Kluyveromyces lactis: one gene and its partners. The protein of the gene in region 1 purifies or fractionates together with the protein of each later gene. This does not show direct contact. Links are inferred from orthologs where the notes say so. Each region holds a gene or a part of one and is shown on either strand. Other genes may lie near its edges. The genes, in order: NIP1, GCD11, TIF34 and HCR1.

What was found.
Region 2: the proteins of NIP1 (region 1) and GCD11 purify together in Saccharomyces cerevisiae (affinity purification with mass spectrometry; 4 studies listed by BioGRID). This does not show direct contact. The link is inferred for Kluyveromyces lactis from reciprocal best matches to the Saccharomyces cerevisiae genes NIP1 and GCD11.
Region 3: the proteins of NIP1 (region 1) and TIF34 purify together in Saccharomyces cerevisiae (affinity purification with western blotting; 10 studies listed by BioGRID, with this or other methods). This does not show direct contact. The link is inferred for Kluyveromyces lactis from reciprocal best matches to the Saccharomyces cerevisiae genes NIP1 and TIF34.
Region 4: the proteins of NIP1 (region 1) and HCR1 purify together in Saccharomyces cerevisiae (affinity purification with mass spectrometry; 6 studies listed by BioGRID, with this or other methods). This does not show direct contact. The link is inferred for Kluyveromyces lactis from reciprocal best matches to the Saccharomyces cerevisiae genes NIP1 and HCR1.

The regions. Positions count from the first base shown.
Region 1 is NC_006042.1:279,781-284,135, reverse strand, and holds NIP1 (translation initiation factor eIF3 core subunit c), read left to right. Parts: upstream 1-1,521; coding exon 1,522-3,981; downstream 3,982-4,355. Other genes in the region: BGL2 (glucan 1,3-beta-glucosidase), read left to right, coding at 1-632. UniProt on the Saccharomyces cerevisiae protein: Component of the eukaryotic translation initiation factor 3 (eIF-3) complex, which is involved in protein synthesis of a specialized repertoire of mRNAs and, together with other initiation factors, stimulates binding of mRNA and methionyl-tRNAi to the 40S ribosome.
Region 2 is NC_006040.1:897,791-901,409, reverse strand, and holds GCD11 (translation initiation factor eIF2 subunit gamma), read left to right. Parts: upstream 1-1,551; coding exon 1,552-3,114; downstream 3,115-3,619. Other genes in the region: leucine-responsive transcriptional regulator LEU3, read left to right, coding at 1-1,084; GTPase-activating protein SST2, read right to left, coding at 3,252-3,619. UniProt on the Saccharomyces cerevisiae protein: As a subunit of eukaryotic initiation factor 2 eIF2, involved in the early steps of protein synthesis.
Region 3 is NC_006042.1:696,401-699,207, forward strand, and holds TIF34 (translation initiation factor eIF3 subunit i), read left to right. Parts: upstream 1-1,192; coding exon 1,193-2,236; downstream 2,237-2,807. Other genes in the region: KLLA0_F07381g (carboxymethylenebutenolidase), read left to right, coding at 1-714; KLLA0_F07425g (uncharacterized protein), read right to left, coding at 2,777-2,807. UniProt on the Saccharomyces cerevisiae protein: Component of the eukaryotic translation initiation factor 3 (eIF-3) complex, which is involved in protein synthesis of a specialized repertoire of mRNAs and, together with other initiation factors, stimulates binding of mRNA and methionyl-tRNAi to the 40S ribosome.
Region 4 is NC_006041.1:1,750,002-1,752,813, reverse strand, and holds HCR1 (translation initiation factor eIF3 core subunit j), read right to left. Parts: upstream 1,344-2,812; coding exon 510-1,343; downstream 1-509. Other genes in the region: PAR32 (Par32p), read left to right, coding at 2,037-2,504. UniProt on the Saccharomyces cerevisiae protein: Component of the eukaryotic translation initiation factor 3 (eIF-3) complex, which is involved in protein synthesis of a specialized repertoire of mRNAs and, together with other initiation factors, stimulates binding of mRNA and methionyl-tRNAi to the 40S ribosome.

The DNA of each region.
Region 1 (4,355 bases):
CTCAATACTTGCCATGGATCAAAACTTCTACCATCGAAGCCTTCTTGGTTGGTTCCGAAGCTTTGTACCGTGAAGATATGACTGCTTCTGAATTGGCAGATGCTATCTCTGATGTCAAGGACTACATTAAAGACATCAAGGATTCCGATGGTAACTCTTACAGTGGCAAGCAAGTCGGTACTGTTGACTCATGGAACGTTTTGGTCGATGGTGGATCTGCTACCGCCATTCAAGCTGCTGACTTTGTCATGGCGAACGCCTTCTCTTACTGGCAAGGTCAAACTATGGATAATGCTTCTTACTCGTTCTTCGACGATATCATGCAAGCTCTACAAACTATCCAAACTACCAAGGGTTCTACTGACATTCAATTCTGGGTTGGTGAAACTGGCTGGCCAACCGATGGTACCAACTTTGAAAGTGCTTACCCAGGTCTAGATAACGCTAAGCAATTTTGGGCTGATGGTATTTGTGCTATGAGAGGCTGGGGTGTCAACGTTATCGTTTTCGAAGCTTTCGATGAGGACTGGAAACCAGATACTTCTGGTATTTCCGATGTTGAAAAGTACTGGGGTGTTTGGGATGCCAACAGAAACTTGAAGTTCAAGTTGGATTGTGATTTCAGCTCTTAATTTTTGAGTTGAGCTTCTCTTCTCTTTAACATACAATACAGATTGTGTGTATTTTTTTTACCCTTCCACTTTCTCATTTGATACCGGTTATAATTGTTGACTTGTTGTTTCCTTTCGTCTCCTATTAACAACTCAAAATTATACAAATGAAGCTTTCATGTCACATTTAGGTCACACATTCCTTCAGCAAATTGATCCATTCATACTTGTTACTACGGCTGTTATCTAAAGGTGATATTAACTTATTACCTACTTGAATTCTTCAAATTGCGATACTATCCATTTTAATTCCTGGACTAAAAAAAAAAAAGAACATTAAAAGAGTACTTTATATATCACAACAGCAGAACATTTTCATGAACCATAAATGTATCTATCCCGTTGTCGAAGTATGCCCACAAAACATCGATCAAGAAGGCATCGTATATGGTATGAAAGCTTCAAAATTATTTTATTTCTTAGCAACATCTATATTTCACTTTTCATATAACTAAATTAAATCGATATTATTTTATACCCTATTTATCATCGATGATTATACGCAATCACACAAAGTTAGACGTCCATTTTGGCCTAACATCAACCGGCGACAGACTCCCACTTCACTTTGTTCTTTGCAATGGTACATTCATTTATCATTACCCGGCTACCAATCGTGTTCCATGATTATTTGAAAATTTTCACAAATTTTCACTCAGTGAAAGCTCATCTCAAAAGAAAATCTGAAAGGTTTGAAATCGAATTAATAGATGAAATTCAGTTGAGACGTGTAATAAGCAATACTTTTCAATTGTAGGTTGGAATCACCAGGTCGTAACAGGGAGACTAGGTTGAGATTAGTACGTGGTATTAAGGAAATAGAACAACGTTAAGCGATAGTCCATTCATCATGTCCCGTTTTTTTTTGAAGACATATGAGTACGATTCAACGTCTTCTGGTGAAGAAGAAGACTTGTTATCTCAAAGTGAAGAGGATTTAGTTTCATCCTCCAGTGAGGAAGAATTATCTGATGACTCTTTCTTCAACGACTCTGATGAGAGTTCCGATAATGATGAAGACAATGATTCTGATAGCAAACCCTACGGCCCTGACTGGTTCAAGAAGCCAGAATTCAGAAAAGGTGGTGGTTCAGGTGCTAACAAGTTCTTGAAATCTACCAACTATTCATCTGATGAAGACTCATCCGACGAAGAAGATGGTAAGAAGGTTGTGAAGTCAGCAAAAGAGAAGTTGTTGGATGAAATGAAATCTATTTACCAAAAAATTGATTCCGCAGAAGCCCAACAAGATTGGGAATCATTATTAAACCATTTGGAAACCATTTTGAAATTATACACAAAAGCCCAACAACAAAACTACGGTACACCTAATATCTTTGTGAAGTCATTGGCTAGATTTGAAGATGCGGTATCTGCTACTTCTCAGGATGAAATTAAGAATAAGGCAGTTGCAAGAGCTTATAACACCACCAAGCAAAGAGTTAAGAAGTTAATCAGAGAAAACGAAACCTCCGTTAAGGCTTACAGAGAAAACCCAGAGGACTTTGACAAGGAACCTGTCTTAGATGCTGATATAGACTCAAGAGATGTCTCTGCTACTCCATTCTCCTTGAGTGGTAAGAAGAATTTAGACTTGGCATCCGTGGCAAATAACATTTCTGAGCTAGACTTTTTCAAGACGTTGAATATTATCATCGATTCTAGAGGTAAGAAAAACACTGACCACACAGAACAAATTAAAACCACCGAAGAACTATTGAAGATTGCCAAGACTCCATATGAAAAGATCTGTACATACTTGAACTTGATTCCAATCAGATTCGATGCATCTGTATCCTTATCATACCAACCACTAGAACAATGGAAAGCATCAAAGGATAACTTGGATGGTTTATTGGAAGTGCTGGAACAAGAGATCGACCACTATCAAGTTACTGAATTTGCCCCAAGAAATGATTTCATTGAAGATGAACCAGAAGCTAATGAGCATGGTGTCAAGGAAATTTTGGGTTCTATCTTCTCTATGGTTGAAAGATTGGACGATGAATTTAGCAAATCCCTTTTGAACATTGACACTCGTTCCAGTGAATACATGGAACGTTTGAGAGATGAACAATCTATTTACAATTTGATTATCAGATCCCAATTGTACTTTGAACGTGTAACTGCAGAAGAACACCGCGATAGACTTTTGGCCCGTGTCTTCAACAGAAGACTTGAACATATCTACTACAAGTCCGACAAGCTCATCTCTATTATGGAAACCGTTGCATGGAAACAAATTCGTGAAGGAACTGCGTCCCTTGAATCCTCTTTCGTTCGTTTGAATGAATCAGATTCCGCAGATGCCGATTACAACTTCAAGGTCATCTCTGAATTGTCCGATTTCTTAATTAAACAAAAGAGTAACAACGTGTTCAACTACAGAAAAGGTACCTTGTACAAAACATATTATATTGCATTGAACCAAGAATACGCTCCAGCAAAGAAAATAATGCTTTCTTCCGATATTGCTAAATTCATTTCAGGCTCTGATGCAGCATTACAAATTTTGTACAATAGATGTGTTATTCAACTTGGTTTGGCTGCATTTAAGGCTGGTTTAATAAATGAATGTCACCAAGTTTTGAACGGTCTTTGTATTAATCCACATCTAAGAGAAATTTTGGGTCAACAAAGTTTACAAAGAGCTAATGCGAACAGCAATGTCGTGCAGGGTGCCCCTGTTGAACAATTATGTCTTCCTTTCCATCAACACATCAACTTGGATCTAATTGACACCGTCTACATGACATGTTCTTTATTACTTGATGTGCCTCACATGGCAGCTTATTACAGCGGTATTAAGGTCAAGAGAATCCCAGTTTTCCAAAAATCTATCCGCCGTATTCTAGAGAGTTCAGAGAAAGCTATTTTCCATGGTCCTCCAGAAACTCTAAGAGATCACATTCTTTATGCTGCAAAGTCAATGCAAAAGGGTGATTACTTACAATCGATCGAATATTTGAGGAAAATTTCTGTGTGGTCTTTGTTGAGTAAATCTGATGATATCATCAACCAACTAAGTGAAAAGGTTCAAATTGAAACTTTGAAAACTTACATTTTCACTTACAAGAGATTCTACTCTAAAATATCCATTTCTAAATTATCGAAATTGTTTGATCTTGATATCGAAAAGGTTTTGGCTGTAGCACAAAACATCATCAATGATTACGAAGTTAAAGCCAAATTGGATGAAAATAACGAATACATTATCTTCGAAAGAGGCGAAGAAATCACAAAGTTAGAAGAAGTTGCCATCAAGTTAGTTAAAGAAACCAAGTACCACTCTGAACGTTTACGCCAGTAAACATTTTCATTCTTCGTTCAGCAGATAAGGTCAGTTTCTAATTGTAGCACTCACCTTCCATACACATAACAAAATTTGCTCTTCCTTCTTTTGTTCACTTACCGTGCGCATATTAATAGACAGAGTCGTTGGCAAAGAACCTTTGTTTTAGCATTTGCAATAAATACTAGTATTTGTACATTATCGATAATATATAACATAGTTCTCACTGTAGGCAATTACGTAGTTTTTGAAATCAATTAATTGAATTTTGGAGACATATAACATCTCGAACATTGACTCGTAACAATACAGTTTATGCGCTGGTTCATTCTATATATATATGTATATGATACACATTTATGGACAAATGTATGTTATCAGTTGGAATAAAC
Region 2 (3,619 bases), on another chromosome or scaffold:
GGCAGCATCAATAATATCAAAGCTAGTCCATTCCTCATTGGGCTCAATTATCGATGTCGATACTGGTCATGAAGTTTATCAAGATGCTGTATCATTAATTTCGAATGCTTCTGTCCTCAAGTACGATATGGCTTATAGATCAGCTGGTATTATGAGAAGTATATGGAGCATGTTCAGCAACATGTTCGAAGAGTGGAAAGCGAAGAAAGACCAAAGTTCCTCTTCAACACAGTCAGAAAAGGATTTTAACTTGAGTATTACCATAAGATCTAGAATGTCTGTGAGTGTTTTCTTTGACTGCTTGTTCATATTAAGACAGAAGTGCGGTATGGCAAAACTAAAGAGAGAAAGAGAAAAGACAGTCTCCTCTGATGATGAAAATAGTGGCGATAACCATAACGGAGATGCAGAGTCCAAAGAACTACTGCCCAACGATGGGTATTCCGAAGAACATGCCAGAAGGATTATATCTACCATTCCACTTGACCCAGAGCCCATCAATGCACAGCAGTCCAGTGGAAGCAATATTACATCTCCGAACGGTTCACATAGTAGTGACGTTTTGTCATTGAAATCAATCCTAAACAAAACGTCCCCAAAGGACGAGATTTTGCAGAAACAGAAAAATGGTACAATGCCATCTTCATCTTCCCCTAGCAACAATATCATAGTATCACCTACAAACACACATGCTGGTGCTTCCAATGTTGAAACTAGCGGTTATCCCAGATCTCTAAATCCTTTGAACGCCGTCACAGACAATAAACTCATAAACCATTCTACCACCGCCAAGAAAACGAACTCCCCACAATTTAGGGTTTCAAGTCCGTCAAATCATAGTAAACCGACTCGAAAGATCAATCCTGCTGCGCAGTCCTTAAATGAGTTGTTGGAGCCACCAATACCGCAATCCTTCCAGTCCGTTACAAAATCGATAATATCAGAAGGAACTGAAAACAGAAAGGAAGATACGCCCTCAATTTCTCCAGGTCTTACGGAAAGATGGGACAACTGGGAATCAGATCTTGTTTGGAAAGATGTCGACATTCTAATGAACGAATTCGCATTCAATCCGACGTTGTAATATTAAATTATTGGTTATATATTTCTATAAATACTTATTATAAGACGAATTAAATCATCGGTTAACAGATTGATACTGCGAAATGACACCAACTGCTAACCTGTCACTGGCGAGAAACCTAAGCAAAACCAGATGTCGTTATGCACATTTTCCAAGTACTTAAAACATAATCACGTGATCGAAAATACCACCAGATTTCTCTTTCTGTACGAAATCGTTACTTTGTATCGAAAATTTTTTTGAATTGTAAGAATGCCAAATTCGAAATCAGTTTCAACAGAATTGAGTAGATATATGTGGATATGATTAATCTCGATGAGTAATGAAGGTGTAAAGGTATAAAGATCTTGTTAGCAACCGAGTTTAATTCCAGAGAATAGAACGGCCAGGTGCAGTATTTGGGAAAGTATCAAAAAGGATATCTAGTGATAGTTTTTTCTGATTGTTTATAATACCTAAAGTTCAGGATGTCTGATTTGCAAAACCAAGAGCCAAGTATTGTCATCAATGGGGATCTTAATGATGAGCCAATAGATACATTTGAGGTTGAAGAAGAGGAGCAAGTTTTTGATGAAGTGAAGCCTAAGAAGACTGTTACTTTCAGTGGGATTGATGATGTGGAAGCGGATGAAGAACGTAGAAAGAGAGAATTTGAAGAAGGTGGTGGTCTTCCAGAGCAACCAACGAACCCAGATTTTTCCAAGTTGAACCCTCTATCACCAGAAATTATCAATAGACAAGCCACTATCAATATTGGTACTATCGGTCATGTCGCTCACGGTAAATCTACCGTTGTGAGAGCTATTTCAGGTGTTCAAACCGTTCGTTTCAAGGATGAATTAGAACGTAATATTACCATTAAATTAGGTTACGCCAATGCCAAAATCTATAAAGCAGAAGATCCAGAATGCCCAGAACCAGACTGTTATAAGTCTTTCAGATCTGACAAAGAAGTTGCACCAAAGGTTGATCTTCCAGGTTACAGTGGACGTTATAAACTAGTCCGTCATGTTTCCTTTGTCGATTGTCCTGGTCACGATATTTTAATGTCTACCATGTTGTCTGGTGCTGCCGTTATGGATGCAGCACTACTTCTAATCGCAGGTAACGAATCCTGTCCTCAACCACAAACCTCTGAACATTTGGCTGCTATCGAAATTATGAAGTTGAAGCACGTTATCATTTTACAGAACAAAGTCGATCTAATGAGAGAAGACTCTGCTCTGGAACATCAAAAATCTATTTTGAAATTTATTAGAGGTACCATCGCTGATGGTGCTCCAATCGTTCCAATCTCAGCCCAATTGAAATATAACATTGATGCTGTGAATGAATTCATCGTGAAAAGTATTCCTGTTCCTCAAAGAGACTTCTTAGCGTCTCCGAGATTGATTGTCATTCGTTCCTTTGATGTTAACAAGCCAGGTGCCGAAATCGAAGATTTGAAGGGTGGTGTTGCCGGTGGTTCCATTTTGACTGGTGTTTTCAAATTAGGCGATGAGATCGAAATTAGACCAGGTATCGTCACTAAAGATGATCATGGTAAGATTCAATGTAAGCCAATTTTCTCCAATATCGTTTCCCTATTTGCTGAACACAACGACCTAAAATTCGCCGTTCCAGGTGGTTTGATTGGTGTTGGTACTAAGGTCGATCCAACGTTATGTAGAGCAGATCGTCTAGTGGGTCAAGTCGTTGGTGCTAAGGGCCATTTGCCATCTATCTACACCGATATCGAAATTAACTACTTCCTATTGCGTCGTCTATTAGGTGTAAAGACCGATGGTCAAAAACAAGCAAAGGTTAGAAAGTTAGAGCCAAATGAAGTTTTAATGGTGAACATCGGTTCCACCGCTACTGGTGCCCGTGTGGTTGCCGTCAAAGCCGATATGGCAAGATTACAATTAACTTCCCCTGCATGTACAGAAGTTAATGAAAAGATTGCATTATCTAGACGTATCGAAAAGCATTGGCGTTTAATTGGTTGGGCTACTATCAAGAAGGGTACCACTCTTGAACCAATCGCTTAATCTGTAAATTAACTAAATGATTTTATATATGTCTATATGTATATATTGTCACATTAATGTTCCATTTTCTTGGTAGAAAAGGCCACATTCTTTTGCAAGATGAATATCTTTATTCTTCATGATGAAATGCCTAGGTTCTACTTGTTAGCAGTTATTAATGAAATTGCGTCCCTATACGATTCTGTTGCCAGGAATTTGGGCAAAGAGTCGTTCTTCATCATGATAAATACGGTATTTCTGATTTTTTCCAGTAACTGATACAAATCCTTCAACATTGATATAGCATGAATAATGACGTATGACTCAGTACCCTTATTAAGAGGTGTCGGCGCCAATGGCATTGACGTGTTACTATGGGATTGTACTTTATGCTCCACGCATTTCTTCCGGGCAGCAGGATCGAGGCTTAAGGGTCTATTAACAGATGCATCCGAAATGGCTCTTGAACAATTTTCCTTGCCTGAAGTGTCGAACGCAGTTTTAGTTGGAGACTGAGGGTGGAATA
Region 3 (2,807 bases), about 420 kb from region 1:
AAATTCCCTGCTGTGTTAGTCTTCTCTGAAATTTATCAGGTTACTGGACCTGTTTTGAGATTCGCTCAAACGATTGCTGCAGAAGGTTACATTGCCATTTTACCATCTTCATACCATAATTTTGTAGATTCTACACCCTTGGCGTATGATACTGAGGGTACTGATCTAGGTAACAAATTCAAGATTGAAAAACCCTTAGAATCGTATGATGAAGATGTTACGTTGTGCCTTGATGTACTAGAAAACCTACCACAATGGAATGGAAGAGTTGGTGCAACTGGCATGTGCTTAGGTGGACATTTGGCCTTCAGAGCTCAACTTGACTCCAGAATCAAGGCTACAACATGTTTCTTCCCCACTGATATTCACTCTCACTCTTTAGGTTTGGGCAAGAATGACGATTCATTGGAAAAGGTTACAGCCAATTGGAAAAAGGACCAGGAATGTTTCTTGATTTTTGGTACCAAAGATACTCATGTGCCATGGGAAGGCAGAGATCAAATTAGAAATGCAGTGAAGGATAAGTCTGTCACATTTTTAGAAATCAACGGTGCTCAACATGCATTTATCAGAGACGAATTCAGCAAGGGGAGATTCGATTCCGCAGTGACAAAAGCATGTTTGGGTTTTATGTTTGAGTTATTTGATAGAAAGTTGAAGAGTGAACTAGGAGAGTTCGTTGACGACAATGCGCCTGTCGAGCATGTTTGTTAGACAATGCGATCCTTTCATGTGAAGCCAACTATACATTGATATATCTATATACTTATACTTATACTAGTGCAGCAAAAACCAAAGGTTTCAAACCAGTACCCATAATATGTCATGGAATCTCGTTCTGAGATCCGTATGGACACACTCTGAGAGTTTATCATCACCAAGTGACACAGTACTTCTACTTGGGATGCTATTTTCCTCATTACCCTACCTTTAACAGATTTCTTTTATCAGTAAAATTTTCCAAGCGTAAGTAAAGCCAGAGAGCGTATTATCACAGAGGAAGAAGCTTTAGAAAATGAAAAAGTGAAAGAAATTGATGAATTAGTGAAAAAAAATTCGAAATACACAGTGGGATTAACAATATATTTTCAAGAAAAAGCTTAGAGCAGCTTCAGTACTGGTTCAAGGATTATTCGGAACCAACAGCAATAGCAGATTCTGATCGAACTCAGAAGTATAAAATATTGAAAAGATGAGACCAATTGTTTTGAAGGGTCATGAACGTCCATTAACGCAAGTTAAGTTCAACCGTGATGGTGACTTAGTTTTTGCTTGCTCCAAAGATAGTGTTGCCTCTATCTGGTACGCTATCAACGGTGAAAGATTAGGTACTCTAGATGATCATTCTGGTACTATCTGGTCTATTGATGTTGATGAAAGCACAACTTATGCGTTGACTGGTGGTGCTGATTTCTGTTTCAAGATCTGGAAAGTTGCTACAGGTGTAGCAGTCCATTCTGTCTCTACCAGAAGTCCAGTTTTGAGAGTCGAATTTTCTCCAGACGGTAGCAAACTTTTGATTGTACTTGATGCCGTTATGGGTCACATTGGTTCCATTGTTGTTTACTCTTTGATCAGAAACGAAAACGGTGAAATCGTGAATGTGAAGGAGGAACCAGACTACGAAATTACAACCATCGAGCAAGCTACCAAGGTGTTCGTTGCATCTTGGTCCTACAATGGTAAGTACATCATAGCAGGTCATGAAGATGGTCAAATCAGTGCTTACTACGGTGAAAACGGGGAATTCGTTCAAGCAAAGAAGATCCACGAAAAGAGCATCAAAGATATCCAATTCTCTCCAGACAGAACTTACTTTATCACTTCATCCAGAGACAGTGTCGCTTCTTTGGTGGATGTCGACACTTTTGAAGTTCTAAAAACATACAAGGCTGATTGTCCATTAAATAGTGCATCTATTACTCCTCTCAAAGAATTTGTAATCTTGGGTGGTGGTCAAGATGCTAAGGATGTCACAACTACTAGTGCTCGTGAAGGTAAGTTCGAAGCCAGAATTTACCACAAGGTATTCCAAGATGAAATTGGCAGAGTTAAGGGTCATTTCGGTCCTTTGAATTACGTCGCCGTTTCTCCAACTGGTACATCATATGCATCTGGCGGTGAAGATGGTTACATCCGTTTACATCATTTCGATAAATCATACTTCGATTTCAAATACGACGTGGAAAAGACATTTGAAGTGGAAAGAAGGCAACAACTGCAAAAGCAAGAATAAACTTGGTCATTCATCTCATATCACACATCTCTTTTTCTTCCATCGATACAAATCTGATGACACCAGTGTACATTATCCATACTTTTCACAACTCTATTCTGGCACTAGATAACCTATTGACGCTCCCGTTTTTCATCATTCAATATTAGTATACCAATAACTAAACATCATTAGTTGCATATTATTTTACATACCAGAGTTCTTCCATTGCGAACTCTGCAAAGATGTGTCCGTTTACCCCAAAAACAGTGATCCACGGCTATTGGATTCATCGTTGTTAATAACTAATGTTTTCATTCATTGCTTATATTGCTAGGATTAATGCGGAAACGGTTTTGCTAGATAATTATATGTACATTCAATTACCCATGTAAATTAATGTAAAATAACCTAACCTTCAGACACAAACTTTTAGAAGAAACGTCCCATCATATGTGAGCCCGTCAGCTAAAATGTGTAAGACGTATGAAAAGATCTTTAAAACTTCAGTAGCATACTTCGTTGAGAGTAAACGTAAAGGTTTTCTATCGATGTAAGTACTTACCTTCTCTTCTCTGCTGCCAGTTTCTCA
Region 4 (2,812 bases), on another chromosome or scaffold:
GCTGCTAAGTTACCAAGTTTCTCTACCAAGTTGTTACCTTATTATATAGTATATTGATATGCGGAATACAGACGGCGTTCGATTATACATATATATATATATATATATATAAGTACAAGTTCATAGCTGAGAAAAAAAAAAACAGTTCAAACGCGGAATAGGAACAATCATATACCGTCGACTCCACGACTTGGTTCATCCACCCTTGTTTTGATACATATCCGGCTTGCTCTCCTCTGGTCTTCTCTGGCTTTTCTTTGTTGCCGGATTTCCATGATGATTTTTCACTTCGTAGCGTGGGATGTAGCGTGGATCGGATCTTGTTGTACTGGTTTGAGGCAGCACTGGGCCAGTGGAGAGTCAAGAGCGCTCTCAGATTCGGTAGATGAGAGAGAGAAAGAGCGACCGGGCTAGCGAACAAGACTTGGGCAATATTAACAGTTCAATTGTTTACGTTCTATATATGATATGTGATGATGATATGTGATGAGATCTGTTTTTTTTTTCTATTACATGAAATCGTCTTCTCCGAAATCGTCAAAGTTATCGTTACCACCTAGGTCGAAATCGTTATCCTTCTTGAAGGCACCGCCGAGGTTAGCCCTAGTAGCCTTGGCCTTCTTCTTACCGGCACCGCCTGTGGCGGTGCCTCCCTTGACTTTGGCCAAACGAGCTTGTCTTTCTTCTCTTTCTTTATCCTTCATCAATACGTTCAATGTCGCAATGGTTTGTCTGATGTTTTCGACGGTCATTGGTTTGGAAATGTCTCTGATCAAGTCGATGGCTAGTCCACCAGAGTAGTTCAACAAGGATTTGTTGCTTGTCGAGGTGATTGCGGTAGCCAACGCTTTCCTTAATTCTTGGTAATCTTTTTTGGTTTCCAAATCCGAGAACAATGGGTGCGATTGGATTGGGGTATCCTTGGTCAACGCAGCAGGTTGGGCGACAGCTGCAAGCTGTTCTCTTTCACGTTCGGCGCGGGCTCTTGGATGTTCTTCTGCGACGCCAAGACCGCCGAAAAGGTCTGCAGCGTTGTTCAAATCAGATTCCAGTTCAGCCTTTCTCAATAGTTCTTTACGGGTCTTGTCGTCAAGAGTATCGATATCGAGCATGGTGTTCTTTGTAGCAGCTGGTGTAGCAGCTGGTGATGGAGAGGCTTTCTTTGGAGCCTTGGCTGCAGCTGCTGCTGCTGCCTTAGGCTTAGGTTTAGCAGTCTCCTCGTCCTCCCAGGACTCTAGTACCGGCTCATCGTCGTTTTCAGCGAACTCATCATCCCATGAATTCAACACTGGCTTCTCTTTGGAGCCACTTGGCACTGCAAAATCTTCGTCGTCCCAGGACATTGTTGATTGATAATTGATCTCGGTTAGGGTAGAGCTGCTGAAAGCAAGTGTTTATTGATTGTCCTCGTTACAAATTCTTGTCAAGATGCTTATGGGTGGCATTAAATTTCGATTTTTGGGTCTTTTGGGAGCTGTTACCCGGGGCAGTGGTCTTCCTTCCTCCGTCCCTCCCTTCTGCCGCAAAGACTGCTACGTCAAACCATCATATTGCATGTAGAACGAAAATACCCTGCTATAGACCACGATTTTTTGTCTATCCAGAGTTCCACTGGCACCATATAACATGTTAATGATCACTTCCCTTTTAATGGTACCCAATTGACGTATTCATATCCTGTTCTGCCCATTATGACGCTCCAAAATTAATTTATTTTTGATACCTATTTCTCAAAATTAAATAGTTACTTTTTCTGGCGTCACTCATGCACCAGGCTCCTCATCATCCCATACGACCTTCGGTCCCTTATCATCGATTCCTTGACCAACACACAATTAATGATCAACTCTCGATCCGAACCTTTTTTATATATACATGTCAGTATTGAAAACATAAAATGTGCATCCATTTAATAGTTGTTGGTCCAATCTAACCATTGTGATATAGGCTCGTGACAAGTGGACCTAATCTGGAATAGTTGTTTGGCAACGCAATAATAAAGAAAGTATCTTTGGGAGATTATTCAATATATCGGCATGGGTGAATATAGAGTAAGTACTGGAAGAGGAGGCGCAGGAAACATGATAACGTCGAACGAGAAACCTTCACCGAAGGTTGTGACACAGGGTTCCCAGACCCCCAATATACTATCGCCAATTTACTCTACGGGTCGCGGTGGTGCTGGTAATATGAGGAGGAATGTGGACCCGGTTATGACACGCACCGCACAGGATGTTGACGATGACGACGTGATAGACGTGACTTCTTCAAACAATACAGGAACCATCAAAAAGATCAAGTCGAGACGCTTCTCGGAACCTCCAAAGACCATATCGATCGGTAGAGGTGGTGCTGGGAACATACTAAGCCCTAAATCGTCAAGAAAGAAAAGGGATGAGAAGGGCTCTAAGAATTCCTCCACTGGAGACAACGGATCGAGTCACGTGGACGAAAAATCATCAAAGAGTGGGTTCTTCTCCAAATTGAAGAGTCTTTTCAAGTGAATCGCCACCGATCAGCTCTTCTCCTTCCTATCTTTTCATCCCTCACACTTGCATAATGAGACTATATAGTCCTCCTTCTTCTTCCCTTCTCCTTTTTTATTAACGTAACGAAATGAACTTTAAAAAGTAATCAAAAGATACTTCTTCTGTCTTCATGAACATTGGGACACAGACCCTGACAACTTGAAACAGATGTAATTGTACATATAATACTGCATAGCCTTTCTTCCCTCTATTTAATAAGGCATTTTTAATATATAAGTAATTCATAATATTGATTTTTATCTCTCAATCAAATCTCATTCATA